4 linked regions of the Notamacropus eugenii genome follow. The protein of the gene in region 1 purifies or fractionates together with the protein of each later gene. This does not show direct contact. Links are inferred from orthologs where the notes say so. Each region holds a gene or a part of one and is shown on either strand. Other genes may lie near its edges.

Region 1 (7,976 bases):
GTTCTGTGTGTGTAGTAAGCTTTCAATAGATATTTGCTTCTGATAACAAAAGGGAGGTAGTTAATAGAAATGTGAGGCGGTCAGGAAATGTGGGAGTGGCAGGGAAACCAGGAGGTCTGAGTGGCTTCCTTTTTCTTATAGAAGTTATCACTGATGGAAAAGGGGAACATGGAATTGAAGATGCCCCCGGACAAGGCCTCATCTTCTCAATTGCCTATGCTAGGCCGTGGTACAAAGAGAAGACTAGATAAAGAGAATGCCCCTGAGCCGGAGAAGGTGAGTTGGACTGTAGATATGTGAGAGCCTGGGCAGGGAGAAGAGAGAACTGGATTAGTTGAGAAGGGTGGGGAGCCCCAAGGGGGGTGGGTGGGAAAAAGTTCTCTAAAACTATCCTTTATATATATATTTATTTTTTCCACAGTTAAAGACAATATTCAACATTCTTTTCTTTTTTTAATTTTGAGTTCCAAGTTTTCTCTCTCTCTCCCACCTCCACCTTTCTGAGATGGTACAGTAAACAATTTGATATAGGTTGTACATGAAAACTTTACTTTCTCTTTCCTCAGAAGCGGATTCGAGGTCCTGGAACAGCAGTAACTATTGCCATCTCTCGTCCCAGGGTCTCCACTGTGGCCACTATGCCCAGGGCAAAAAAACAGGAAGCAGGTAAATAAAATACCTGTAGGTTTGACAGATGACAAAAGAATCCAGAGTTTCATCTTTCCTATTTCATGTAATTACATGACCAGAGTAATTCTGTCTTAGGTTATACGTGCAATAGGAGATGAACATGTCTGAGAGGAACGGGTATATTATCTCTTCAGAATAAGAGGTCAGCCCTAGGCTGGCTCTTATATTCTTTCCTGCATAGAAACTGCCCTGAGGATGCTCCCTATCACCTTCTTCCTTATCTCCTCGCAGCCCAGAAGGCTCCCCTAAAAACAGGACCTTGGCATACTACAACGGCCACCACAGGTGAGTAGGCATCAGTAGCTAGATCTCAGGGAAACAAGCACAAGTTGGAAAGGGAAGAATGATGGAGGGATTTGGCTGCCTGTGAATCTGAGCTTGATCTCAGCTCTGCAGCTTATGTCTTAGGTGAACTTTGGCAAGGTAAACCTCTGGACCATAGTTTGCTCTGTAAAATGAAAGAGTCGGTCACTATCAGCTCCAAATTAATTGATGTTATTGAAATTATTATCTCTTATCTTTGTACAGATGTGAAGAATAGGAAGCCAGTCTCTGCAGTCTCTACTGTCTCTGCACCAAAACCTGGTAAGTGGCTAATCTAATCCCTCAGGTTAGGCAATGTACCACTTACAGAGGGAATAGCAGTTGTACTGAGTGCTCTACAAAAACCATTAGCCCATTTCTGTCTCCCCTGTGAGATAAAAAGGAGGGAATGGGAGTTAATGGTGTTTGTTGCTCACTGAAAGGAGAAGAGAAAGGAGCTAGAGTTTTCATTCGCCTTGCTACTCTTTCCCATACCTAGTATCAAGAATGTCCCCTACAAAAACAAGGAAAGGATCTAGCAAGCGTCCAGCCTGGGATGTGAAGGGACAACTGTGTGACTTACGGAAGGAGTTCAGTGCCTGCCAGGTACAGACTGAGGTTCTAACCAGGGAGAACCAGGAACTCAGGAGCCAGTTTGGGCAAGCTGATCAACAAGCCAAAACTCTGGAGGCTGAGAACAAGGTGTTGATTGGGGATCTGACGGAGACTCGGGCCCAAGCTAAGCAAGACCAGCTGGAGCTGGGGAAGTTGAGGGCTCAGGTCCAGGAGCTGGAAGCACTTCTGCATACTCAGAAGGGCCTAGTTCAGTCATTGCAAGAAGAGCGGTTACAGTTGCAAGAAGAACGAAGGGATCTGGCTGCTCGGCTAGAGGTACAGGAGGTGAGTAACGCTTGGGTGGACAAAGCATCGTCCTGTGTGCGTTCACATGGAATTCTTGCTGAGCCTCCGCTGGGGGATGTTTGACCTTCTCCCTTTTACTTGTGTCTTGGAGTGTGTCCTCCCTTCTCAGAGTTTTCATCTGAGCTGAAGGCCCCTTCCCTCACTTTTGAGCTGTGTCTTTCAAGGAATTTCCCTTGCCTCATGCAGTTTCTTGTAGCTTGATTTTGATTTCGTTTTCTCTCCTCTTTCTTGCCATCTGTAATATTCTCCTTGTTCCCTTTCTTCCATTCTATCTATATATCCTTTCCTGTTGTGCCTTACCCCATCTTCATTCTTCCTTCTCATCTCACCAGTTACTCTGTTCCCTCTCACAGTGTCCACTCTTAATACTTCCCTCCATACTTTCTAACCCCTCTTTCTCTCTTACCTCTCTGACCTATGCCAGGCACAACTCCAAGAATCAATGGCAGCTCTGGCCAAAAGTCAGGCAGATTTCACAGCCCAGGCAGACTTGTTGGCCACAAGGACAGAGCATCTGCATGGTCTTGAGATGGAGCGGCGGTATCTGCACAACCAGCTGCAAGAGCTCAAGGGTAACATTCGGGTTTTTTGTCGAGTCCGCCCTGCTCTACCTGGAGAGCCCACACCACCTCCTGGCCTCATCCTTTTTCCTCCTGGGTCTAATGGAGCCTCTGAGCCTTCCACTCGACTCAGTCTTACTCGGCCAAGTGATGATCGATGTAGCATCATAGGAGGGTTACCAAGTGCTCCTGCCCGCTATGACTTCTCCTTTGACCGAGTGTTCCTACCAGGGAGCAAACAGAATGAAGTGTTTGAAGAAGTCTCCCTGCTTGTGCAGTCAGCCCTGGATGGTTACCCTGTGTGCATCTTTGCCTATGGCCAGACAGGCAGTGGCAAGACATTCACGATGGAAGGAGGGCCAGGAGGAGACCCGCAAGTTGAGGGGCTGATCCCAAGAGCTGTAAGGCATCTGTTTTCAGTAGCCCGGAAGCTGGAGGCCCAAGGCTGGAGCTACACCTTTGTGGCTAGCTATGTGGAGATCTACAATGAAACCATCAGGGACCTGTTGGCCTGTGTGGGTGGGGCCCAAAAGTGCCAGGGGACTGAGTATGAGATTCGACTGGCTGGCCCTGGAAGTAAGGAGCTTATTGTCACCAATGCCCAATATGTCCCCGTTTCCTGCGAAGAGGAGGTAGGGAATGAGGTAGACAGAGAGGGGATAAGATCAAGGGACAGGAGAGGAGACTGGGAAGTGGGGGGGTTATAGGAAAGATTTGGGGCTGTGGGAAGTTGTCAGATTAGGTGCAAGGTATTGGGAGTGGGGGAATGTTCTACAAAAACCAAGAGTTGGGGAAAGAATATATGTGTGCTCACTGAGAAGATATTGACAATGGCAGTCTCGCTCTCCCAATTCAGGTGGAATCCCTGCTCCATCTGGCTCGTCAGAATCGGGCAGTGGCTCGAACAGCACAAAACGAGCAGTCATCGCGAAGCCACAGTGTGTTCCAGCTGCAGATTTCAGGGAAGCACATGGGGCAGAACTTACACTGTACAGCCTCTCTCAACCTAATAGATCTGGCTGGGAGTGAAAGACTAGATCCTGGCTTGTCCACTGGCCCTGGAGATCGAGAACGACTGAAGGAGACCCAAGCCATCAACAGCAGCCTCTCTACACTGGGCCTTGTCATCATGGCCCTGAGCAATAAGGTAGGAGCAAGGGAGATTGCAGCCGAGCCGTTTGTTCTGAGATATTAAAATGCTGCCTTGTCCCGTTGTAACCTCCATCTCCCCCACAACCCAGGAGTCGCATGTGCCATACCGGAACAGCAAACTCACGTACCTGCTGCAGAATTCTCTAAGGGGCAGTGCCAAAATGTGAGTAGTAAGAATAGGAACTGATAGACTAGCTTGTTAAGGATGGAAGAAACTTGCAGACTGGCTCTAAGCAACACTAACAGGTGTGAACCAGGGCCGGAGGAATGTCTTGAGAATGTTGCCTTTGTGCTAAACCCCTTCTCCCACCCAGGCTTATGTTTGTGAATATCTCCCCATTGGAAGAAAACTTCTCAGAGTCCCTCAACTCCCTGCGATTTGCCTCCAAGGTACAGACATCTCCCATGGGTCCTTTGTTTTTCACTTCTGTCCTGTCAGTCCCTGGCTCTTTGAGGGTGTGCCCCTCCCCCTTTGCTGTTTGCCAGTTAGGCTCACTATAGCTCTCCTCTTTCCCCGGGCTAGAGTGTCTGGATACCTGCTTCCAGATTTCCTTAGGAGGTCTGGAAGGGTTGTATCCATCCCAAAGGAATTGTTCTGGTGCTGACACAGGCATCTCTTCTTTTCCTCTCCCAGGTAAACCAGTGTGTTATTGGCACTGCTCGAGCCAACAAGAAATAGAAGGGCCATCTTTGGTGTCCTGCGTGTATGTGGTTTTTATGTATGTTTAAGGGGATATTTTTAATTAGAGTGGTAACTGAGTTTATATAACTAGGTGAATATAACCATGTATCACAAAATAAAATTATCTTAGCACATGTTCTCGGTGATTTTATGTGTTGGTTACTTTTGCTGAATTGCCCTCCCCTTGTTCTTTAAGAACTGATGCCCAAGAAGGGATGTATTTGGAAATGCAGGCAAAGGGCCCTTAAGAAATGGCTTTCTTCGACCACTTTCCCGGGAAGTTTCTTTCTGGAAAGCTGGGGTAAGGGGCCGAGCGATTTGGCCAGGGATCTCCTGGTGCCGCCCTTGGCACCGTCCCCGTCTGTCCGTCACTCGGAAGGTCCGCGGCGCGCTCGGGGCTGGCAGCTCCGGCCTGGGCCGCGGCGGGCCGGGCTGACCGCTCGGACGATGCATGACTCAACGCCCGCTCCCGCTGGAGCGCCCCATTCAAACGGCCCGGGCCCCGCCCCGTTTCCTTTCCATTGGCTCTGCCTGCGTTAACGCCCCCGGCCCCGGCAATTGTCCGACCGCTCCCCTCCGGCCCTCCTCCTTCCTTACTGCCCCGCGCCTCCCGCCCTCCTGCGCCTGGGGAAGCAGAGCGAGGGAACGCTGCGCCAGCCCCGACGGCCCCGCCCGGCGGGGAGAGGGGGGCGCTCCAGCTCCGCAGGTGCCGCGCGCCAGCGCGGAGCGGAAAGCTGGGGGAGGGAGGTGGGTCCGCGCATGCGCCTTGGCGGGGGAGGCTGGGTGGGCAAAACCGGGGGGAAGGGGGCGGGGCCGGTGGGCAATTAGAGGGAGGGGGGTAGGGGCCGCGGGGGGGCCAAAGGTGCGGGAATGGGCTGGTGGGGGCGGCTCCCGGGCAGTTTCGGATTGTGGCGCGAGGCGCGGAGGCCGCGGCGGGGGCGGGGCCGGGGCGGGAGCCGAGCAGGGATTCCCTGCCGCCGGGGGCGGGCCGGGGCCACTCGGAGGGATTCCCCGTCGGCCTCGGCGCCTGGGTCCTGGGAGGAGGGCGTGCACCCGGCCCCACCCCACCCCGCGTGGCCCGCCCGGGAGGCGTAGGGGGTGGGGTGAGGTGGTTCCCGCCCCCCTCCCCCCAGCTCCTCCCTCCCTCCCAGGCCTCCCCCCCCCAGTCAGTCCGTCCCTCCCCTCCCTCCCTCCCTCCTCCTCTCCCTCCTCCTGCTGCTGCCGCCGCCGCCGCCGCCGCCGCCGCCGCTGCTTTGGCTGCTGCGTCATACGCCCCAGAGCAGCCGGGACCGAGGGGCCGGGCCCGGGGACCCCCCCAGCCTCTGTCTGCCCCCTCCCCCGGACGCCTGGACATCTCGACCCCCGCCCCGGCCCCCCCACGGCTCCCCCTCCCCAGCTCCCCGGCGGCCGCAGCTGTCACCGGTAAGGAGGAGGCGGAGAGGGCGGGGGGCCGAAGGAGTACTGGGAGGGGGGGGGGCCAGGCGGGGGAGCCCCCCTCCCCCGGGAGAGGCGTTGGCGCTAGGTGGGGGAGGGGTCCTTCTCTGGCTCCCCTCCACCCTCTCGTCTCCCCCCACCCAGCCTTTCCAATCACATGCATGCAGAGACCCCCTTTTGCAAGGGGGCTGCCTCACGTCACCTCCAGGTTTGCCCCATCTCGGGGAGTAGAGATTGGGACCGGGACACGCCCCCCTCCCTAGCTACACGGGAAGTTATCCGCCCCACCCCCACACCCCTGGGTTAGAGAACCTCAGATTGGAGTGGGACTCAAGATAATCCAGGAATAGGAAGATTCTTCAGCATGGATCGGAGGGAATCTCATTACTGAGGACCCCCTTCCCCCCGAAAAGCAGGTTGTCTGAACTCTGACATCTCTGGACAGGGAAATTCCAAGATGAAGCCAGCCAGGATGTAGGGGTGGGACTAGGACCTAAGGGGAGGCCTCTTTCTCCAATCCATCATCCTCTTAAAATCCTTGAACCAAGAGAGAAACTCCCTGAGAGAACCAATCCCTGGAGGAATCTTGGGGGTGGGAGACTAAGAATCAGGTGTCTGTGCTCCCTCTCCCTCGAATCTTAGAAACCCCCTCAGTGCGGGTCTGAAAGAGAAGACTATGGGCTTTTGTGATATCGAACTGGGGAAGCAAGGAGAAAGCTGGAATCTTGAATATTTTGAGTCCCCTTGGGGGAGCCAAGCAGGAAGAGGTGATTGCTGTTGGGGGTGGGGAAGGTAACTCTTCCCCCCTTGTCCTACCAGGCTCCCCAGGATGCAATGGCGCAGCCCTCCCGGCTGAGCCGCTCTGCTGCCCCCCAACCCTGGGAGCCCACTCCCCCAGCCCCTTCCCCAGGTACCAGACCCCGGCTTTGGGAGGGACAAGATGTTCTGGCCAGATGGACTGATGGACTCCTTTACCTGGGAACTATCAAGAAGGTGAGATCTAAACCTCTGACCTCAACCTCAACCCCACTTTTCTCCTGAAACATTAACTTTAGTATTCCCTTTCCATCCTCTTGACTCAAATCAAATGTCCCTTTCTCAGCATTCACCTCCTTTTCTCTCTCCCAGGTGGATAGTGCTCGGGAGGTCTGTCTAGTACAGTTTGAAGATGACTCCCAGTTTCTTGTTCTATGGAAAGACATTAGCCCTGGTGAGATGCAAGGGAGCTTGGTCCCTAAAAAGAAGCAGGGACTGGGGGACAGAAGCTTGGCTCTTAAGAATAATGGGGCTAGAGCCTTACAGTCCTTATCTCTCTTTTCTGTTTCATAGCTGCCCTCCCTGGAGAAGAGCTCCTGTGCTGCGTCTGTCGATCTGAGTCTGTGGTCCCTGGGAACCGGCTGGTCAGCTGTGAGAAATGTCGACATGGTAAGGAATGACATTTGACCTCTCCCAGCCTATTGGGGAACCACACCTTCACAGTCTATGATTTCTTTTCCATAATTTCCCTTCTTTACCCTTTTCTTGTTATAATCCTGAACCTCTTCCCCCTAGTCATTCTTCCCAATACTTTACCCTCAACCCTCCATGATCCTTCTTCTCACCCCCCAGCATATCACCAGGATTGCCACATTCCAAGAGCCCCAGCCCCTGGAGAAGGAGATGGCCCATCCCCTTGGGTCTGCAGGCAGTGTGTCTTTGCCATCGCTACCAAGGTACCGAAATCACTCCTCCCCATGGTAGATACCACTCACCTCTCTCTATACACTGACCTTCCACCCTACCCCCAAGCTGTCACTTAACTTTTCTCTTTCTTCACCACCAAACTATCTCAATGTGTTTGTCCCTGCAGAGGGGAGGTGCCCTGAAGAAAGGTCCTTACGCACGGGCAATGCTGGGGATGAAGCTGTCTTTGCCATATGGACTGAAGGGCCTGGACTGGGATGCAGGACACCTGAGCAACCGACAGCAGAGTTACTGTTACTGCGGGGGCCCTGGGGAGTGAGTCACAGAAAGAAGGGAAGGAATGGGGAGGCTTTCTGAAGGGGGGGGTGATGCCAGTGAGTCAAGGTAGGTGCTAGGGAGAGATTTGGGGGAAGGGAACCCAGTTGTAGTAATGAAAGTGATGGCAGATGATAGGGTTGTGGAGGCAGAACAACTGCAGGCCTCACCTGGTACTCTCTCTCAGGTGGAACCTAAAGATGCTACAATGTCGGAGTTGCCTCCAGTGGTTTCAC
Region 2 (7,562 bases), on another chromosome or scaffold:
TCAACTTTCTTTTATTCTCTTTTGTATGGCTCACTTTTTTTTTCTTTTTTTGGGCACCCCATCACTATTCCCTCCTTTCCCCTGCTATAACTTCCCACCAAAGGAAAAAAAAATCCTTCCCTTGTGATAGATATAAACCAAAACAAATCCATATGTTGGATACATTGAAAAATATATTTCTGTTCCTTTAGTCCATCACCTCTGTTAAGTAGTGGGAAGCATGATTTAACATGGGCCTTCTGGAACCATGACTGGTCAATATAATGATTACAGTTCTTGTCTTTTAGAGCTGTTTTTCTTTACAATATGTTTATGATTATATATTGCTTTCCTGGTTCTACTTACTTCGAATTGTGAGAAAAATGTAATTTTCTTGGTAGTTAACAGCAACATAGGGAGAAACCATTGGATTCCTGTGGTCCCTGAAGCCTAGGGATCAACAAGAAGTTAAAGCTTTGATAAATGGGAGCAAAAAAAGGCAAAAAATGAATTTTGCTTTTTGCTGTTATCTGGAATGATTTGGACAGTGTGAGTCTATTGCAAAGGATGCTTTTCTAGTAACTGCAAGTTCATTTTTATTTTGGGAGACTCTCCATTATCAAAGTATTACTATAAGACCTGTATAAGTTTATGTGGTGAAAGGCATCTGACTCAGTGGACTATTGAGGGGTTGTCCTTGCTAGTAATTCTATATCTGTTTTCTTTCTGAGAAGAACCTAAACCAAAGTATGGTACAATGGACCTTAGGTCCCTGTAGGTAAGAGAGGGGGAGCAGAGTGACAATGTCGACTTAAACTCAATATTTCATTGTTTTTTGTTTCTTTGCATGAGGAATAAAAGCTGTTCTGTACTGGATATATACATTTTTACCTTTTGCACCTATCTGTAGAGATCTAGATACTAATTATATTCAAATTATTTCCATAAAGACTTCCTAATTCTTTGTTATAAGGGATAGTTCTTTGGGAGAGGCTGGGGGTGGGCTGGTGGAGAAGAAAGTTTGAGAAATGAAGGTGATATAAAAACAAATGATATAAGCAAAAATTGGAACTCCCTCCCCCCCTACATATCTATCTTACAAAGATCTCTTATTCGACATCCTTTCAACTTAGGCTGTTACTTTAGGCAAGAGGTGCCTTCTCTCCATTCATACCATAGCATCCTAGTGCATGCCCTCACTGCCTCTTATCTGAACAGTTTATTCCAAAAGTCTAACTAGTTTCCCCACTCCAATCTATTCTCTAAACAGCTGCCAAACTGAGTCCTAAAACACAAGTCTGACCATGTCAACCCCTAGTTTCAGAGGCTCCCTATTGCCTTCCATGCTGCTGGAATTTAAACCTCTTTCCAAAGTGACTACTTTGTTTCACCTCTCACCTTCATGATTTTGTACCAGCTGGCCCCCACACCAGGGATGCTCTTCCTCTAAAGAACCTCTGCCTCTTGGAACATCTAGCTACTTTCAAGGCTCTTACAGATACTCCCTTCCCCTACCCTGAGTATTGTGCTTGTAATCTTAAATTTATCTGTGAGCATGTTGTATCTCCCCAGGATAATGCAAGCTCTGCGAAGGGACAGTCTTACTATCATCTCTTTATTCCCAGCATGGTAGCTAGCACAGAGAAGGTGCTTCATATGTGCTTACTGATTGATGACTAGTTTTTGTTAACTTTTGTTAACTTTGTTAACTTCTTAGCTACGAAAGGAACTGTGAATTGCCAGAAACAGAAATGTTTTGCTTTGAGAAAGTAAAATAACTAGCCTCTGACACAAGCTGTGTGACCAAGGGCTAATCACTTAAACTCTCAGTGTTCCAGGTAACTAAAACTTTTAAGTTATCATGGATGGAGGGAATTCCCAAACCAGGAATGCTCCATATAAATATCACAAATCTAGACCAAAAAACCAAACAAACCCAAATTCCATGAGGCATGATTTTAAAAGACAAATTGCACGGAGACTCATTTTTTATGCTCACTTTATGTAGTCTTAAAACAGTTGTCATACCCTTTACATGACCAAACGTTGATTACAACTCCCACCCCAATACTGTTCTCTTTGCCAATACCTTTGACTCTGGAGCAAAAAAAAAAAAAAGTTCTCCCAAGTCTCCATGTGGAGGGCTCAGAATGCTAGCCAACTCCTCATTTCCTACCAGTTGCACTGTCTGGATCATTATTACACCCCCCCTCTCCAAAAAAAGCTTATCACCAGGTAATTGATCATTATAGAGATTGCATTAGCTTTGGAACTCACATCTCAATACCTTAAATTACTTTCAGTTGGATTGGAGGGCTGAACATTTCCCGCCCCAAATCCCCCATTTACAGAGAGCTCAGAAGCCTACCTAACTCTTCATTTCCCACCAGTGGCATAGCTTGGATTCTACTGTACCATCATGGCCCCACGCTGAACCTTTTCAACCTCCCCACTCAGCTTCCTTTTCTTTTTCATTAGATTATAAGTTCCTTGAGAACAGGGACTGTGTTTGGCACACAGTGGGCACTTAATATTTATTGCCTATTTGTTACTATTTGCTGTATTGCATTGTACATTTCAATAATCCCAAATCTTCAAATCTCCTCCCTACAGGAGACTGCATGTGGTTATGGGTGGGAATAATGATGGTGATGAGTCCCATAGAAATTACAGGGCAAGTCACTAAATGAAGACTTCTGATTTGAATTTTCTAGTATTATCTTTGAACAGGAGGCAACCAGAAAGAATATCATCAGAGGTGCAAGACACAAAAAGGTCCACTAGAAAAAGTGGGCTGGTCATGTGACAAAGGATGAGGGATAACGGATGGAAAGCCCCCAGCTTCTGTTGGCATCCCGATCACAAGATATAGAGGAAGCCTAGAACCTTGGGTGAACCCTGTGCAGGCCATAGATTGCCATGCGATGCATAGGACATGCTACTATACCCTTAGGGGTGAATAGGAATCCATATTCATTTAAGTGTCATCTTTACAAACTGAAAAACAAATTATACGTAATCCTTGTAGTTCTTTATTATACACTTGATCATTGGGGTTTTCTCAATTATAATATTTAGTCCCAGTGTAAGTGGGCAATTCCTATCGAGTTAAATGTATACATATGTAAATTACATATAAATGTATACATACGTGTATAAAACAGCATACATATCAATAAACATTCTAAAAAATGAATTGCCCGTGTCCCTTTAGAAATTTAATTTAAACTACCTTAATGTCTTGGTTAAAAAAACCCCAAGCAAACCACCGAAAAAGTGCAATTCACGCGGTGTACGGTCGGCTTCTGTTCCCGCGTGTGGAGCCGGGTTTTCCTAAGGTCACTAAGGCTTCACAAACCGCCCGCGCGGGGGCCGCTCTCCATTCCGCCCAGCGCATGTGGGCGCTCCACCCGCGGGGCTGGGAGGCCGACACGTGCGCTCGGGCTCGCAGCCACCACACCGCCGAGGCTCTCAAACCCGGGGGCTGGGAACGTCACTGACAGCCTTTCACTTATTTTCTAAGGGCAGCCCCGCGGCCGGAGGCCCGGCAGAGGTAGCGAGCAGCCGGCTCTCGGCCCTGCCGGCGGGAGGGCCCCTAACGGCCGAGCGCCCCAGCGCTCCCCGCCCCAAGCGAGCGCGCTCATTAGTCGGCCCGGCTCCCGCCAGGGCGGGCGGGGAGCGCCGCGCGCCTCGCATGCAAATCAGCGGCAGAGCCCCAGGCGCCGAGCCGCCCCTAGCGGCCGTCAAGCGCAGCCTCCGGCCGGACTCGATCGGAGGCGAGGCGGCGGGCTCCGGAGGCCCCGGGATGCCTGGGCTCGCCCCAACTCCCGGGGTCTCCCGGGGACACTTCACCTCCGCCCGCCCGGGGCCCCGCCTGGCCCAGCCCGCCCCTCGGGAGAGAAAGGAGAAAGAGCGCGGCCGTTAAAACCGTTACCACGCCTTGAGTTTCGAACTGATTCAAACTTGGCCGCCAAGGCCCCTTGAACTACACCTCCCTCCGACGCCCCTCCGACGCCCCTCCTCCCCTCCTCTCCCCTCCCCTGCCCCGCCGGGGCTCGGAGGTGGCTATTCCCGCCAAGATTAGAGCAACATCTCCGTCCTTCCCCGCCCGCCACCCAGATCCTTCCCCTTTCCTCCCCGCCCCTCTCCCGGCCTGGCTCGTCCAGCCGGCCCCTCCTCCCCTCCTCCCCCTGCCGCGTTCGCCCCGCGGCCCATTCGCCTTCCCGATCCGTACCCTGCGTGTAAAACGAGAGAACAAAGGGACGGCGGCGGTAGTTTCGCACGTAAAAACCCCCAGCGTCTCAGGGAGTGTGTGTGTGTATGTGTGCGCGTATATGAGAATATGTGTATGTGTGGATGTGTGCGTACCGTCCGGAGATAAGTATATGCGTGGGGCTGTGGGTCTTCCCGGCGCCTGGGAGCTCGGCGGGCCCTCTGATTGGATGGAAGCCTGCCTCTCGTCCCTCCAATCGGGGCGGCGCTTGATTGTAGTGGGGGGGCCAATGAGAGCGATGGCGATTGGGCTGTCAGGTTTGGCGCTCGGTCCGGTAGCATCCGACACCCACAGGGACAGAGAAAGCAGCGGAGGACCGGTGGCGGCGGCGGCGCGCGGGAGCAGCGCGCGGGGAGCGGCGCGGGCTGGGGAGAGGGAAAGAAGGTAAAGCCACCCGGCCGGCTCCGGCTAGCGGGACGGGCTCAGGAGCCCGAGGAGTTACGGGCGGCGGCGATATTGCTCGTCTCCGGGTATCGCCCCGGAGAGGGGTTCACCCGGCGCCTTCTTTGTATGACCGGGGGGAAGGGATCCCGAAGCTGGGGGGACTGGGGGTCGGCGGCCCGCGCTCGGGGCGGCCGCAGACGCAGGGGATGGAGTGGCCGGGGTGGGGGGAAACGGCCGGGAGAGCGCTGGGTCGCTGTGCTGGGGTGTTTTGTTTGGTTCCCGCCTCACACCACCCGCTCTCCTTTTTCCTTTTCCGCCTGATCCGTCGGGTTCGGGGCTCGGGGCCCCGTCCCGGCCGCCCCAAGTGTCCTTTGTGTGCCGGGCGTCGGGAGAGCTCCGGGCGTGACGGGACGGACACAACTTGGTGGGACCTTGCACTCAGACAAAGGAGAGACTGTGTCTGACGGAGAGAGCCCGGGCATGTGGGAGGGGGCGGCACAAGTTGGGCCCCCAGCTGCGGGCGGGGTTGGGGGGTGTAGGTCGGCGGCGCCGGCCTCAATTTAGGAGAAAGGGCGCCCCTCCTCCCCTTCCCCAGCCCCCGTCCCTACCGGGTCCCCTTCCCCTCCCCCCTCGGAGCTTATAGACCATGCAGCGCTGGCCGCACTTAGCGTGGGACAGCGTGCACGAGGGAGATCTTGAACTCCGAGTCCTCTCCCACAGGAAACAACTTCGAGCACCGTTGGAGAATTCTCCTCCAGCCTTAGGATAGCCCTTCCTCTCCCTCGCACGGGAAAGATTTGGGGCCGTTTTTTAGGTTTCTCTCCCGTGCTCTTTCCGGGCTTCAGAAAGCTAGTCTATTCCTTATGCTTAGTTTGAGGGAAGAGTTGAGTTGTTTTTCCTTCTCTTTTGTTCTCATTGAGTGCTTTCGGTTGAAGTTCGCTTCTTTTTGTTTCTGAAAACTTATCACTTGGGATAGAGTTCTGCTCAGGGACAGGGTGACAAGCTTTTGGAAAACTCTGTAAACTTAATATTGAAAGCAACTTTTCAATCCGTTTACAAATTTCAAGCCGTTTGTTCAACTTCACAATCTGATTTGAGAATGGAGGCAGGTGCTAAAGACTTATTATATACATCCCATATGCCCAGGAGTTGAAATAATGATATTGGCAAATTTGTTTGAGCTCTTTGATTTGAATATGCCAAGGTTAAATGTGACTTTTTAGATCACAGTAGCATTCTTGTTTTAATTGAATTTGTTTGCCATGAAAAATACCCTTTAGTGATTCAGAAATGATTGGGAGTGAAAATGGCTCTGTATATAAATAATTGAATGAATAATGCCTCATAGTTAGGCTAAAAACTTCCTTTGAGTAACTGGAATAAAACCTTGTGTGTTGAACAGTCTGTTAACGAAGCTTATGAAATAAAGATGTTTAATTATCATATTTTTGAGTCGTTTACTTAACTGTTTTAAAGATTGTCCTCACTTTTTTGTGTATATCTTCTTTTTACTTTAGTTAACATTAGTTTAATAATCGATTGCATTATACACCGTTAAGACACCAACATTTAGCTCTGAACATAAAAAGTTTACCAAGTGTAACATTCTTATTTTTACACATGAGGAAATCAAGGCTAAGAGAGTTTGACTTGTTTAAGGTCACACAAAATAGTAAGTGGCTGAGTCAGATTCAGAACCTGGTGTCTCCTGAGGCAAATTGAACACCCTTTCCATTATACCATATTGCCATTCTTTAGCATTTTGATTTTCTTGATTCTTCCCTACAAGGATGGAAAGCAAATCCAAATCCTTTCTTGTTTTTGTGTGTAGGAAAAAACATCTGCCTAGATGCTTTATTCTTGTCAAGTCAACACGTTTTAAGTGCCTACTATGAGCTGGGAACTGTACTAAGACTGGAACAGATATGTAACCCTAGCCATTTTCGTTGTTAATTTATTTGCAAGTATTTATTTTGATATATATTCTAACTATTCATTGCTCCTATAGTTTGACTTCTGGATATATAGTTATCAAAGACATTTCCCATTTGTGTGTGGTGATGTTCTTTGGGATGTAATGTGAAAATGTTAAGGAATATATCTCAAGACATTATATGCTTTTGAAACAAATTTGTGTGTGCAGGAAAGCAGGTTAAATTTAAAGTAAGAATTTTAAATCATATTCTGCTATGTGATGGCCATTGGAAAAAAAAAAGACAACAGATTTCTCTCTAGACTGTTGAGGTAGACTGTTTAAATAAATAAATAATGTTTAAATTTGAGTGATAAAACATTTTAAATTATTTCCTTTTTTAAAAATCCCTTTAATAATTTTGGTCACAAATTTGCCCAGATGAGTCTGTCATACCTCTTTGATGGTCATTTGGATATTTTGAGACCAGAGGTCCCAGTTCTGAATATATAAATAGGTCAGTGTTCTGACAATTCTGTTGTTTCGTGACTGCAGTTGGAATGAAAATACAGATTTAAGATCCATTACATATTGTTATATTACTAGAAAAATTTCAATTAACAGTCAACTCACCAAGCATATATTAAGTACTCATCAAGTACATATTAAACACTTGGGCCTGGTATTGTGATAAGCTCTGGGGATACAAAGAAAGGCAGAAAGCATGATCCCTGTCCTGAAGGAAATAACATCCCAGTGGGGAGACAACATGCAAACAACTAACTGTACATATAATCATATATACCGTGTAAATGGGAAATAATCTTGGAAGGCACAAGCAGTAGAGTGTGGCTGGAAAGCAGTAGAGGGTACTGGAAAGGCTTCTTGTAGAAGGTGGAATTTGAGTTGAGTCTTGAAGTCTGCAAAGAATCACTTTACATATATGATATGATACTATCATTTACTCTGTGAGTAGCTGCCATTATTACGCTTGTTTTTACAAATGAGAACACT
Region 3 (7,868 bases), about 270 Mb from region 1:
ATCTCCTTTGCTCCACTGTGCTGTGGCCTCTACTACTCCAGAATTCGCCATGAGTTCCTTTTTACCGATGTTCTATGGGTTGTGGGTTCGGAGCTATGTGTATATGCGTCTTTCTACTCCGCCATCTTGGCTCTGCCCCCACCCCCGGAGAAGTTTTAATATATACTTGTAACTATCCTCTAAGACAGTAAATTCATTCATTTAATAAACATGCCAACTACTGTCCTAGGTTCACTGAAGAATAGAAAGATGATGAGAGGTGTCTGTTCTCAAGGAGCTTTGATCTAACAAGGGAAGAAATAACTGCAATAATGTAAATGTTTTACACATTTACACATTTTTTTATTCATTAAAGAATGTGTAAAGAATGTGATGTGTAAAGAATGTGATGAACCACAAGTTCCAAGGAGGGAGAAATTGCTTTTGGATGGGACAACAAGGAACAGTTTCTTTGGTACCATTTGAGCTGAGCTTCAAAGGATGGATGAAGATTTTGATAAATGAAGAAGGAAGAAAAGGTCTATTGCCTTTTGTGGGGAGGGGGGTGGAGAGTGAGAATAGTGTGAACAGGAAAGGCAGCATAGTGTTCAGCAATAGATAAGGGGAAATAAGGTCAATAAATTGGGTTAAACCGTGGAAAACTTTCTATGCTTTTCAAAGAAGTTTAGACTTCATTTTAGGGAGTTTTTTGGAGTTTTTGAATACTGGTTAGAGCTCCACTTTATATTTTTTCATTTCCTTTTTTTATTTTAGTTTTCAACATTCACTTCCATAAATTTTTGAGTTTTAAATTTTCTCCTTCTCCCTTCCTTCCCTCCTCCCCAAGATGGCATGCAATCTCATAAAGGCAGAGCTCCACTTTATCAATCAATAAGCATTTATTAGCCATCTCCTTTATATCAGACACTGTGCTAAACACTTCCCTTCTAAGATTTCACAGTTTAAGGGGGTGTAGGGAAGAGAACAATCAAACATATACAAACAAACTATATATAGGATAAATCAGAAATGGTTAACATAGTGAAGTCACTAGAATTAAGAGTAGTTGGGAAATTTCCTGTAAATGAGATTTTAATTGGGACTTAAAGGAAGCCAGGGAAAGCAGAAAGAGAAATGGAGAGAGAACATTCCAGGCATGGAGGATAGCCAGAGAAAATGCCCATAGCAGAGAGATTGTGTGTCTTGCTCATGGAACAAGAGGCCAGTGTCAATGGGCCATAGGGTATCTGCTGGGGAATAAAGTCTAAGAATACTGAAAAGGTAGGAGGGGGCTAGGTTTTGAAAGGCTTTGTATGACAAACAGAGAATCTTGTATGTGACCTTGGAGGTAAAAGGGAGCCACTACAGTCTATTGAGTAAAGGTGGCAACATGGTGGTAACTGAGCTTTAGTGGTCAAATGGAGGATGAACTGGAATGGGGAGAGACTTGAGTCAGGAAAACCCATCAGCAGGCTGTTGCAATAGCCCAGACAAGAGGTGCGAAGGTTCTGTACTAGTTGATGATGGTGTCAGAGGAGACACGGGGGTATACTGGGGACATGTTGCAAATGTGAAATCAAGAAATCTTGGCAACAGTTTGGATATGGGGTGTGGGTGTGGTGAAAGTCAATGAGGAGTCCAGAATGACTCCTAGATTGTGAGCCTGAAGGATTGGGAGGCTGGGGAAGGTAGGAGGAGGAAGAGTTTAAGGGGAAAAGATAATGAGTTTGGTTTTGGACATGTTGAGTTTAAGATGTCTACTGGACATATAGTTGGAAATGTCTGAAAAGCAGTTGGAGATTTGAGACTGGAGGTCAGCAAAGAGGTTGGGATAGATTAAGAATTATTAATATAGAAGTGGTTATTAAATCCATGAGAGCTGATTTTTTTTAATTTTTAATTTTCACATTAGTCATGTTTTAAAGAAGAATAAGAACCAATGGGAGGAACCATGAGAAAGAAGAAACAAAATAAAATAACAACAACAAAAAAGAGAGAGAGTAAATAGTATGCTTCAATCTGCATGCAGACTCCAGAGTTCTTTCTCTGGATGTAGACAACATTTTCTATCATGAGTCTTTTGGAGTTGTCTTAGATCCACGTATTGTTGAGAAGACCCAGATCTATCAAAGTCAATTATCACACAATGTGACTGTTACTGTATAACAGTGTTCTCCTGATTCTGCTCACTTCACTCAGTATCAATTCATATGTCTTTTCAGGTTTTTCTCAAGTCTGCCTGCTCATGATTTCCCATAGCACAATAGTATTCCGTTACATTCATATACCACAACTTGTTCAGACATTCTCCAATTGATGTGCATTCTCTCCATTTCCAACTCTTGGCCACCACAAAAAGAGCTGCTATAAATATTTTTGTACATGTGGATCCTTTCCCCATTTTTATGATCTCTTTGGGATACAGACCTAGAAGTGGTACTGCTGGGTCAAAGAGTATGCATAGCTTTAAGCCCTTTGGGCATAGTTCCAAACTGTTCTCCAGAACAGTTGGATTAATTCACATCTCCACCAACAATGCATTAGTGTTTCAATTTTCCCACATCTCCAACATTTATCCTGTTTTGTCATGTTAGCCAATCTGATAGGTGTGATGTGGTACTTCAGAGTTGTTTTGATTTGCATCTCTCTAATCAATAGTGATTTAAAACATTTTTTTTCATATGGTAATGGATAGCTTTAAATTCTTCATCTGAAAACTGCCTGTTCATATCCTTTGACTATTTATCTATTGGGGACTGTTTCCATTTTTACTGAGCATGAATGTGAAATCATTCTTTAGGAAGATTAATTTGACAGACCTATTCAGGATGGTTTTTAGAAAGAAAGCTCTTGCTGTAAGCATGTAAATATTTGTAGCTGCTGTGATACTAGAAACAGTAATAGGTTAATGATGCATAGACAACTGCTTTAGTGGAGGTATGGATATGGACTGAACTTGTGATTTTATTGGCATAGGAACTCTGGGGTAGGAAACATCATCCATCAATGCAGATCAGCACATTTTCTGCAATTTATAGTCTTATATCTAGAATTCTATGTATTCATATGCATAACATATAGAAGTCTATATGTTATAATATATGGAATTATATATATATGTATGTATATAGTCTTTCTGCAATTTATAGTCAATATAGAGAATTGCCCTGAGAACTGAGAGGTTTAATGATTTCTGCAGGGTCATGTGTGTGTTCGTCCTTCATTGCTGAAGAAGACCATGCCATCAGAGAAATAATGATATGACTTGCACTTGACTTTGTTTTGAGTGAGGGAGGGCTGTGCAGGTCACCAGCCTCACTTCTCCTCCAGAGCTATCTGAATCCAGTCACCAGATATTCACCAGGATGACTGGAGATGACCCAGGATGAGGTAGTTGGGGTTAAGTGACTTGCTTAATGTCACACAGCTAGTGAACATAAAGTGCCTGAGGTGAGATTTGAACTCCTGCTCCTGCTTTATCCACTGCACCACCTAGCGGCCCCTGAGCACTGAGAGGTTTAATGATTTCTACGGGGTCATACAGCCAAGGGAAAGATTTGGATTCAGGTCTTCAAGTCTTTGATAAGAGCTCCATTATAAAGAGCTTACAAGAGGCATGAGATGAAGTACATAGTGAATGTGTTAAAGAAGGACTTGAACGAATGCATGGATGAATGAATGAAATTTAACCCCTGTCCCAAAGCTGGTTGGTATGGAACTATCTCCTTATTGGTAGAGACAAGGACCCTGCACTTCATGAAGGGCAGGACAAAGCTGAAGAGAGGCAAGACCTTGAGTTCCCAGACAGTCCCTTTTTGGGACTCTCCACAAGAAAGTCCCCTTTGAATCCTTTTTAGGACTTTCCAGGCAAGACTCCCATTTGGGAAACTCTTCAAGCAGCAGTTCCCCTTCTTCAATGGAAAGTCAGGCTGAGCTGCCTTCCAGCTGTGGAAGAAACCAGCCCCACATCAGGTTGCTGAAGGAAAAGATTCTGGGAAGACATGAGAGGAGTTCTTTTTCTCCATTATGTCCCTGTTCTCAGCTTGCTACTCTAGAGACTTCAGGGGAAGTTTTCCTTGGGTGGGATTCAGGATTCTTTCTCGGTTGAGCTGAGTTATTTTTCTCCTAATGGAACAGCTCCCTCATTTTGTATTGTCTGGTATTTATTTTCCCATATATACCTTCTCTAATTTGTTTTGATACTGATTGGGATAAATGGAATTTTTTTTTTGCCATTTGCTATATGTGTTCATTGTATGGAATTGGTATTAGCTGAGCAAGGGGTCGTCAGCCTGGGGACTACCCTCCCCCCCATGACTCCCTCTCCCTGAGGAGAGCAGAGGGGTGGCCGGTGGTCGGTCCCAACCTCCGGCTTCCCCTTCTAGCAGTAATGAAAATCTCCCTTGGAGAAGGGGTGGGGTGGGGAGTAAACGGTAGAGATGGGTAATGTCTTTCCAACCACACACAAGGGTCGCCTTGGATAACCCCTGGCCTCCCCACAAGGGGCCCCTCTACCCAAGTGGGACCCTCTAGTCATATCTGCCCTGGAGCATTTATGAAGCTCTTACTGCATGCAAAGCACAGAAAAGGAAGAAGCCCGTCCCTGCTCTCAAGAGCGCACATGCTACTATCATATCTCGTGTACTGGGTGAAAGCGGGTCTCGGCTACGGGGCACACCTTCGTACCCGGCAGGACCTGCCCATCCTGCTTCCGGCGGTCCAGCCTCTCAAGGCGAGAGTGGGGCTCACGCGCCCGCGCCAGACACCCGAGGTTCGTAAGCACAAAATGAGCACGCGACGAGGAACGCCCGCGCCCAAAAAGAGGCCAGCGCAACCAGCCCCGCATGCGCAGGCGCAGACGATCCTGAGCAAGCGCAGGAAGGAGGGCTGCGCAGGGGGCGGGGCGAGGAGGCTAGTAGGACGCATGCGTCCTGACCACTGGGTTCGCCAGCCTAGGATGGAAGATGAGTGAGTAAACAAGTCCCGGGCCGGGGAGCGGGACTCTGCATGGGGGGGAGCTTGTCGGATGGGACCGAGGGGTCGGGGGTGAAGAGGGGGTAGGGACGTGGGAAGAGGGGGGCAGCCTGCCTGACCGCGTTTGTGGGGAGGCCCCTGGTTCCGGGCTGTGAGGGAGGAAGGAAGATCGCGCGGGTGGGAAGGGGAAAATTCCCTTGGGCTCGAGAGGAGGAGGTGTCTGCCGTCTGGGAGCACCCCCCCGTGGGGGATGGGCCAGGGGAGGCGGGGCCGCGCGAGGTGGGAGGGGGAGGAGAGGTCTGAGGAGGACGGAGGAGAGGTGTGGAGAGTTCACGGAGGGGGATGGGCGGGGCGCGCCAGGTGCGCGGAGGTGTTACAGCCCCAGGGCATCCCCTTGGGAGGGGGGTGGCGTCTGGGAGGGTTGCCGTGGGTTTGGCAGGGAGGGGGTAACTTTAGGAGAAAATCCCTGTACAGCGAGCGAGAGGGGAAAAGTGGGGTGTATGGGGAAACGGGGTTCTTTTAGGGGATAAGGCAGTTTTCTCTGAGGGGCATTCCACTCTGCAGGTTGGGGTGCGTAACAGTAAAAGAGCGTATGCTGGGAATGGACGTACATGTTTAGGCTTTGAATGAAAGTCGGCCTGAAATTCTTAAAGGGTTTGTGTGAGTGTACGAACCCCTTTCTCTCCGTTTGAATGACGACCACCTGATTGTTGGTCCTGCTTATCTCTCGCCAGGATCCTGGGAGTTAGGCGCTGTTATTATCCCCATTATTAAGTGGTTTGCCCAGGGTCATACAGCTGGGGCCAGATTTAAACTCAGGTTTTCCTGATCGCAGAGCCAGTCCTCTAGCTTAACCGGTCTCGCTCAACAAATTTTACGTGCTCTGTGCCAGGTGAGAAGCAGTTTGGCATATAGAGCAGCAGCCTTGGTGTCAGAAAGGCTTGGAGAAGCCCTGCCTCTGACAGTTTGCTGGCTGGGTCATCCTGTTATGCACAAGGCAATATGCTAGTTACTGGCAATCTACATATCCTTATCACCTCAAGACACTAGTACAACAACTTTGTATCCGGAAGAGTAGCAGATTTACATTGGTGGAAGGATCTTTTGTATTGTGTGACTTGACTGTACAAATGAAATAATAACTGCAAATGAAATTATAGGTGTGGATCTTTCCTGTCACCTACACCTACGCGTAAGTATACAAAGCACTCTTCTAGGCATTGAAGATACAAAGACATTAAATGAAAAACAATTCTTGTTCTCAAGAAGCTTCTATTATATAAGGCATACAACATGTAAATAAATAAGTAGGGGAGGACCTTGAATAATTCTCAGGCTAGTATCTTTCCTCTGCACAGCTATCAATATAATCATCCTAAAGAACAGATCATTCTGCTCAAAAATGTTCCCGATACCTCTTGGATAAAATGTACACCCTTAAACCTTATGTTTAATAGCGACTACTATCTGACTTGTCTACTTTTCCAACCACATTTCATCTACTCTACATTAGAGACAAATTGGGCTATTTTTACCTGCTTCTCAAACTCAACATTTCATCTTCTGCTATTGTGTATTCCCACAAACTGTTCCCAGTTCCTGGATATTGATTGGTCCTATACTGTGTCTCTCGGAAGCATCATCTTCCTTCCTTCATATGCAACCATATGAGGTTGCATAGCCTATGTAGAAACCTTACCTGATCTCCCCAAATTATGATTCTTTCCTTCTTTAAATTATGTTGAGTATATATTGTATCCCTTACTAGAATGTTGACTGAGAGCAGGACTGTTTTGCTTTTTTCTTTATAGTCAGTAAACATATTAAGTGCCTATTGTGAGTTGGCACTGTGTATCTTTGGAGATACAAAGAAAAGTTATAACAGGGTCCTTAGCATCAGGTAGTAATTATTGACATAGAAGATATATATACACTGTAACTGCAAGGTAATCCCAGAAGGAAGATACTGAGGTCCCAGAAAGATTTCCTGAAGAAGATGGTATTTGAGTTGAATTTTGAAGGAAGTCAAGAGACAGAGATGAGGAGGGAGAGCATTCCAGACATGGAGCTTCTTCCATGGACAAGGAGGCACAGATTTGGAGGTGGCCTGTTGTCTTTAAGGAATAGCAAATAGGCCAATGTAGCTGAATTCCAGAATGCTTGGAGAAGAGCAGAGTTAAAAAAAAAAACAAAAACTGGCAAAATAGAAAGGGACCAGATTGTGAAGGGCTTTAAGTGCCAAATAGAGGATTTTATTGGGGGGAGAGGGGTGGTTACATGGTCAAACATACACTTTGAGAAAAATCATTTTGGCGGCTGCTTGGAGGATGAGTTGTAATGTGGAGGAACTTGAGACAGCAAAACCTACCAGAAAGCTGTTGTACTAGTGTGTCTTGAGGTGATACGGATACGTACATTTCCAGCAACTAGCACATTGCATTGTGCAGAACAGGAACCTAATGTTTATTAAAGTGGAAGGGTAGGTGAGCCCCTTCCTCAGAGAACTCAGGGTCTACGGTAATTGATTGTAATGGTATGTCCCCATCCCTAGATTTGTTTAGGGAGTCTGTCCTTGCTGATGAATAGTTATATTTTTTCAGGGCTTCAGATGATAAAGGGAAAGATTCTCTATCAGTTTTCTAATCCTTTTGAATACTGTGATCTTAGGCCTTTGTAAGAATTCTTCCCATTTTAAACCCTGGAGAGATTATGGTGGTGGCACTAGAGGGAGTCCTTACACGTGGGAAGATGTATTTATGTTTGGAGGGGAGGCTCTTAACATCCAGGAATGTGCTGTGTACAGAAATGTAATCTTGTTATTGTCAAAACCTGTGCTAGACACCTTTATGAATGGTGTAGGGGAGCCAGCCCTTGCTATTCTCATCTTAAGTAAAGGGGCCAGACTAGATAGAATA
Region 4 (6,840 bases), on another chromosome or scaffold:
TTTGCTGATTTTGGGGCCAGTGGTCTATCCACTGTGCCAGTTAGCTGCCCTGAATTAGCAGTAGAGAGAGAGAGAGAGAGAGAGAGAGAGAGAGAGAGAGAGAGAGAGAGAGAGAGAGAGAGAGAGAGACAGAGACAGAGAGAGAGACAGAGAGACAGGAAGAAAGAAAGAGAGAACTGCTTCCCCTTCTACTTCCTGTGAGCTCAAAGGTTTTAAAATGACAAAAAATTCCTTGTGGCTAACTTAGTACACTACTCACAAAATACTCATGGATCTATTACCATATATTCAGACCTTTATTTAAAGTTATCAATAAACATTTACAGTACTGAATATTTCATATAAAACTCCAAATAAGCACTGCCATTTCATTAAATAGATTAGGGCTGGTTTTCCATTAAGGCAACTGTCACCATCAGATTTCTACTGGGATATTTCTATCATACCTTTCCACTATTTCTGGCATTTTTTCTTCTTCTTTAATACTTCAACTCAGAATTGTAAAATTATTTTATTTCTACTCTTCCCTCACTCTTCTATTATTCTTTCCCCTAACCTATCTCCCTAACATATAGCTTTTCTTCCATATATACATCTGTTAGGTTTGATTCCAATACTTATAATAACTTCTTTTAAATTAACTCAGTTGAGAATGTTAACATTGTCCTCTTTAAAAAGATCAGGATAAAGCAAAAAAAAGGTCATTAATCTCTTACTAATTAATCACATGTACAACTGGAATATTTCTTAGTCTAAAATAAAGGTAATTATCTGTAAAACACAAGCTTTGCTCTCTCAGCACAGTAGGACAGAGCAGGGAGTGTAGGACTTGGAAGTAGAGAACTTAAGATCTGAGTCCAAGTTTCGCGATGTAAATTTTTCTGTGATCTTGAGAAGTCATTTAATCTCTTCAGCCTGTTTTTTTCATCTGTAAAATAAGAAAATTGTACTAGATGACCTGGAATCCCCTTTTCAACTCTAAATCTATGATTCTCATTTGTCTGATTATCAAGTACATTATGGTACCAGCAATAGAATCTTAACACCACAAAAATCAGTTGCTTTGAAAAACAAACACTAAAATGATTTTGAGACATATTGTAGATAAACTGAATACAAGAATAGAAAGAGGGCCTATCCTGTGATTTTCCTGCCACAGGTAAATATCCAGCTGAGAAAACTCCATTTACCAAAGCAGGTTGACACAATCACAGAAATTAAGTAACATGCCTAGGGTCACCCAGACAATGTCACAGACCCAGGAATTGAACCAAGGTCTTCTTGGCATTGAGGCTGGCTCTCTATCCCACTATATCATATTGCCTCTGTCATAAGAAGTCTGGAGAACAAATCATTTACCCCCCGATTAAGTTTTGGTGTGCTAATCCAAATGTTAAGTTTTGTGGCTTCTTAGAGACCCCAACCACCTATTTCTTTCAGTGATCCTCTGGAGGTTATAGATTTCTATTACACAGTATTCCTCACTACTCTTATTTAAAAGATTCTTCTTTCTCTTTAGAATGAGGAGTGGAAAGAGGGATGGACCTGGATTTAAATCTCAGTTCTGCCACTTAACATGTATAACCTCAAGCAAATCATTCCCTTCTTCATGGCCTCAGTTTCCTCATCTGTGAAAAGGATTAGATTGGTTGGATTGGATGGATAGATTGGATAGATTGCTGGATTAGATGACCTCCAAGGATCCTTCAAGAAACTAATTTATTAATTTATTTATTTATAAACTAACTTATTAAACACCTAATATGTGCCAGGCACTGTGCTATTTGCTGGGATACAGAAGTAATAATTAAAATCTGTGCTCTCAAGGTGCTTACAATCTAGCTATGTAAGATGTGTCTATCCATGCATGAATGTAAGCATACGCATTATATATGTATGCGTGTATATATATATATACACGAGTAAAAATGGGATGAGGTGAAAGGACAAGCAGCTGGGGAAAGGCGCGGGGGTCCCGCTGGTGCTTCAGAAAAGACTTCAGGTAGGAAGCCGAACTTGAGCTGAGCCTTGGAGGAAGGAGAAGAATTCTAAGCCGTAGAGGTGAGAAGGAGGCACATTCAGGCACCGAAGGTACGTCGGCGCAAAGGCAGAGACAGGAGATGGGAGCACGCGCGGAGAAAGTGAACTACATCCACACTGGAAGGGGCGCGTGGGCAGCGCCCCCAACACCGACTCGCTCTCGGTCTGAAGTTTTCCGAAGAGAGCTGAGCCCTTCTACCACCGTCCCCTCTCCCCGGACGCCCTCGTGGGCCAGCCCTACACTTCGTTGGGCCCCAGTGTGTCCCACTAAAACGCTGGCGCTGGAGGGGGGTAGGTGGAGGGCAAAGCTCCGGGGGGCGCACTACCTGTCAAGCGCACGCCGGGCCCCACGCTCCCCTCCGCGGCACCCGAGAGCCGCACGCCCACGCTACATCACCCCGACCGGCTCCCACCCGGGCACTCCGGGCGCTTCCTCCTGCCGGGGTGGGGGGAGGAGGCGACTGGTGACTCAGGTGAGGTGCCCTCCCCCACGACAGAAATATTCCCAAAGAGCCCAGGGGTGGGGGTCGGACACGTCGTCATCGCCTCCCCACCCGGGGGCTCTCCGCGCTTCCCGACGCCCCCCTTTCCGCGGGATGACACTCGTCCCGCCCGGACGGCGGGGCCACGCCGGCACAGGCGCCCACTCACGTTCTCGTCCCCGGACAGGTCCGGGTTGCTGTTCTCGTCGCTGCTCAGCTTCTGCTTCTTGGCCGCAGGCATGTCGCTTCCCGCCGGCGCTGTCGAGACTTCCCTCTCGGACATGTTCCTGCGCCTGCCCCCGGACTCCTGTCGTCGCGGCCGCGGCCTCCGCCACACCGCCGTCAAGCAAGCCCGGCCCGCGCCGGCCGCAAAGCCGCCGCCGCCGCCTCCTCCACCACTGCCGCCTCCTCCGGCCCCCCCACCGTCGCAAACCGCGCCCAGCCGCCGAGGCGGGCGGGCGTGCGGCCCCGCCACACTGCTGAAAAAGGGGCGCGCGCTTGCGCGCGCCCGCCCGCGCGGCCTCCGCTTCCCCTCCCCTCGCGGCTCCCCCCGCCCCTCCGCGGCTCACCCCACTACCCCCACCAACTCCCCCGTCGCCCGCCCGGCTCCGTTCACGCGAAAGGGCGTCGTGGGTCCGCGGGCTTTCAAGAGCTCTTTCCCGCGTGTCCCTCCAGACCCTGGTCTTTCTGCCCCGTTCCTCACCACCACCTCGAAAATGAGTGGCGGGAATGGAAGGGACTCTCCCTCAACCCTTCCGCCTCCCAAAGCCGTTTAAGCAGCAATTGGCCGAAACCCTGGATCCCCTGACGGGTTTCAGGGGACTGAGAGCCGCCGGAATGGACCAGACCATTGGGCCGCCAACGGCGGGGAAGGAGACGAAGAGATGCCTCTCTTCCTGGGAAATGAGGCGAGGGGTCGCAGTCGTGCCTTCGGCACTGAAGTCGTCATATCATTGAGTGTCGAAGGACTATGGCAACCTAACTCCAGATGCTGGAATGGAAGTAAATAACTGGAGGTATTGATACTTTAGGATCCTCCGCCGAAAAAAATGGAAGTTACCTATGAAGGAGCACGCATGCGCGAGGATGTCGTATGATACTGTCTCCGCAGTTGGACTGAGCCCCGCCCATCCCCGCTGGCCCCGCCCTAAAGCTAGTAGCTCCACCTCCTCCTAAACTGCACTGGTTTAGCGAGAGGTGTAGTGATCGTTACCCTGCTGAAGTTGTATCTGGAAAGCACTGGCGCTCCTTGCTGCAGCCTTAGGGAAATCTGCAGGCTCTTATTTGCTTCCTTTCTTTTTGCCTGCTATCACTTGTTTCTTTCATAGTTACCGTTCAAAGAGCTTCACCGGACAGAGCGCTGGGACCGGAGTCCAAAAGACCTGAATTCAAATCCAGCCTCAGACACCTCCCAGCTGTGTGATCCCCGGGCAAGTCGCTTCACCGCTGTGTGCCTCGGTTTCCTCAGCTCTAAAGTGGGGATAATAATAGCACCTGCCTCCCAGGGTGCTTGTAATTGTACAGTGGTGCTGTATAAATACTTATATTAATTATGCTTAGCATGGTACCTGATGGTCTGGAGATAAGAGTCCCTTCTGGAGGCATCAGGAAAACTCACTTTCCTGAGTCGAATCTGGCCTCTGACACCTAACAGCTGTGTAAGACACTTAACCCTGTTTGCCTCAGTATCCTCATTCTTAAAAAGAACTAGAGAAGGAAATGGCAAATTACTCCAGTATCTTTGCAAAGAAAACTCCAAATGGGGCCATGAAAAGTCCAACGACTGAACAACAAAATTGGTTCCTGGCACCATAGTAAGCTCTTACTAAATGCCAATTTCCTTCCTTCCTGATCTGACCCCCAAACCCCTTTTCGAACCTTATTGCATAGATTTCCCTTCCCACAACAAATACTACTAGGTTTGACCAAACTGGCCTTCTTACCCATTCTTTCTTTATATATACCATCCTGCTTTTTTGTTTGTTTGTTTTTGGGGGTAGGGGTGACTTTGAGACTGACTGTTCTCTATGGTTGAAATGCATCCCCTTCTCATCTCCATGTCTTAGAATCACTAGTGTTATTCAAAACTCAGCTCAAGTGCTATTTTCTATGTGAAAATATTCCTTATTCTTTCCCTGCCCCTTGTATCCAATCCTATTGTACTTTGCATCAATTTAGTAATTTTATATCTATATATTACTTCCCCCAACCATACTGTAAGCTTTTGGAGGATAAAGACTGCTTTACTTCATTTTTTGTATCCCTAGGATGTATGTAGTACAGTACTTGTTCCTATTAAGCATATAGAAAATGCTTAATAAATGTTTGTTTATTGATTGAAATGATTACTGCGTTTTCCTTCACCAGTAAAAGCCCTTCAAATCTAGAATGTTACTGTACTTCCTTCTCCCTCTTCAAAACCCTCCCTGAGTCCAGGCTCTCAACTAAGGCCCCATTCTCTCCTTTACATCTCAAAACCTCTTGATGTCATCCCTCAGTCTCTTATACTTTAATTTAGTCTGTAATAATGATGTTACCCTTACACAAGTCCAGTCCCTTTTCCAAATCTCTAGTACTTTGCCCATCTCAACCAATTCTTTTTTTCCCTCTGTACTTCCCTCCATCTCTCCCTTTTTCTGTTTCTCTCTCTCTCTCTCTCTCTTCTTCTTCTTCTTCTTCCTCTCCCTCTCCCTCCATCTTCAGGTTCCTTCTCTGATGCCAACAACCCATGCATGTACCTGTATCACCTTCATCCAGAAAAAGCTTTCCCTAGATGCTACCATTCATTCCTTTAAGCTATCATTTTGATCTCTTTTTCAGCCAAACTCCTAGATTAAAAGCTGTCTATACACACTGCCTTCACTTCCTTTCCTTTCATTCATTCCTCAACCCTTTACAATCTGGTTTCTGACTTCATCACTCAACTGAAGCTGCTCCCTCCAAATTTGCCAAAGTTGCCAAACCTTATGAACTTTTCTCAGTCCCCATCCTTCTTGACCTCTCTGTAGCACTCAACATTTTTGAATACTCTCTCCTCTTGTATACCCTCTCTTCTCTGGATTTCCATGACACTTTTTTTCTTGGTTTTCCTGTCTCTCTGGCTGTTCCTTTTCAGCCTCCTTTGCCGGCTTCTCATCCATATGGCATCCCCCTCCTTCCCTTCTCCCCCTACCCCAGACACCTGTGTTCCTACAAGCTGTCTTGGGCCTTCTCTTTAAAATACATTTTCATTTGATGACCTCATCCTTTGCCATGGGTTTAATGATCATCTCTATGCAAATGACTCTGAGATGTTTATACTTAAATTCAATCTCTCTCTCAAGCTCCAGTCTCACATCCCCATCTGCTTATTGGACATTACAAACTGGATGTCTCAGAGCGATATCTTAGACTCAACATAAGCAAAATCTTCCCTACCATCCCTATCCTGCTTCCTTGTTTCTCTGCCTCTTCTAAGCTTTTACAGCATCTTGCTTTAATCTTTTTACATATTGCCACGTATGAAAGTTATTTTTGAACATGTCTTATCTGTCCTTTGTTTGTAGAGCTCTGACAGGTACCCTGATTAAAAACAATTGATTGAGTTTGTCAAGTGCAGAGTCCTCTGAAGGAAAATAATGGTCCCAGTCTTGATCAGAGAAATTAAAGGAAGACCTCGCAGTTTCAAGGCAGAATTCATATGAGTACGTAATCCAAAGGGCAGGTCAAGAAGCTGAAAAGAGTTTGTATCAACATTTTCAAAGCAGAAAAATCAGTGAGGAATATATAAAGTTTTGTACATAGGTTTTGATTTGGAAGATTTGAAAGAAATTATCTAGTCCAACCCTCCCCTCCTCCATTTTGAAGTAAAGAAACTTAGGCTTACAAAGGTGATATGATTTGCCAAAGACTACTCAGTCATTAGGCAGATATTTGAACTCCTGTCTTCAGATCCCAGATCTAACAGCCTTTCCACTTACCAGGGTATTGTACTACTCTTGAAAAAGATAACGGGCTGATCCTAAGGCATTAGCAGAAGATTGTTGGTGGACAGCCCCTGTACTGTACTGTTATCCTGGTGATATTAGGAGAAAGAGAGGAAGCCATGCACTCCACACGCCCAGTAGGTTTAGGTGGACACCCTGTGGCAAAGGCTATAGCCAAGGAGCTCACAATCTAATGGGGGAGACATCAAGTAAACAGCCAAAAACAAAAAAAAGGCTACATACAGGATAAATTTAAAATAATCAACCGAGGGGCAGCATTAGAATTAAGATAGGGATAGGTTTTCAGTAAAAGGTGAAACTTTTAGTTGGGACTTGAAGGAAACCAGGAGGTA

The links.
Region 2: the proteins of PHF1 (region 1) and EZH2 purify together in Homo sapiens (affinity purification with mass spectrometry; 15 studies listed by BioGRID and IntAct, with this or other methods). This does not show direct contact. The link is inferred for Notamacropus eugenii from reciprocal best matches to the Homo sapiens genes PHF1 and EZH2.
Region 3: the proteins of PHF1 (region 1) and EZH1 purify together in Homo sapiens (affinity purification with mass spectrometry; 5 studies listed by BioGRID and IntAct, with this or other methods). This does not show direct contact. The link is inferred for Notamacropus eugenii from reciprocal best matches to the Homo sapiens genes PHF1 and EZH1.
Region 4: the proteins of PHF1 (region 1) and EED purify together in Homo sapiens (affinity purification with mass spectrometry; 8 studies listed by BioGRID and IntAct, with this or other methods). This does not show direct contact. The link is inferred for Notamacropus eugenii from reciprocal best matches to the Homo sapiens genes PHF1 and EED.

The regions. Positions count from the first base shown.
Region 1 is NC_092873.1:89,404,889-89,412,864, forward strand, and holds the start of PHF1 (PHD finger protein 1), read left to right. Parts: upstream 1-4,968; 5' UTR 4,969-5,055; intron 5,056-5,430; exon of another isoform or gene 5,431-5,730; intron 5,731-5,839; exon of another isoform or gene 5,840-6,158; intron 6,159-6,561; 5' UTR 6,562-6,576; coding exon 6,577-6,735; intron 6,736-6,870; coding exon 6,871-6,952; intron 6,953-7,071; coding exon 7,072-7,167; intron 7,168-7,350; coding exon 7,351-7,454; intron 7,455-7,591; coding exon 7,592-7,740; intron 7,741-7,927; coding exon 7,928-7,976. Other genes in the region: kinesin-like protein KIFC1, read left to right, coding at 142-276, 567-666, 922-975, 1,219-1,275, 1,493-1,893, 2,339-3,106, 3,331-3,621, 3,716-3,789 and 2 more. UniProt on the Homo sapiens protein: Polycomb group (PcG) that specifically binds histone H3 trimethylated at 'Lys-36' (H3K36me3) and recruits the PRC2 complex. Involved in DNA damage response and is recruited at double-strand breaks (DSBs).
Region 2 is NC_092874.1:98,220,333-98,227,894, forward strand, and holds the start of EZH2 (histone-lysine N-methyltransferase EZH2), read left to right. Parts: upstream 1-4,546; 5' UTR 4,547-4,636; intron 4,637-7,562. UniProt on the Homo sapiens protein: Polycomb group (PcG) protein. Catalytic subunit of the PRC2/EED-EZH2 complex, which methylates 'Lys-9' (H3K9me) and 'Lys-27' (H3K27me) of histone H3, leading to transcriptional repression of the affected target gene.
Region 3 is NC_092873.1:359,237,956-359,245,823, reverse strand, and holds the start of EZH1 (histone-lysine N-methyltransferase EZH1), read left to right. Parts: upstream 1-4,854; 5' UTR 4,855-4,943; coding exon 4,944-4,947; intron 4,948-5,536; exon of another isoform or gene 5,537-6,145; intron 6,146-7,868.
Region 4 is NC_092876.1:115,118,628-115,125,467, forward strand, and holds the start of EED (polycomb protein EED), read right to left. Parts: upstream 3,006-6,840; 5' UTR 2,806-3,005; coding exon 2,692-2,805; intron 1-2,691. UniProt on the Homo sapiens protein: Polycomb group (PcG) protein. Component of the PRC2/EED-EZH2 complex, which methylates 'Lys-9' and 'Lys-27' of histone H3, leading to transcriptional repression of the affected target gene.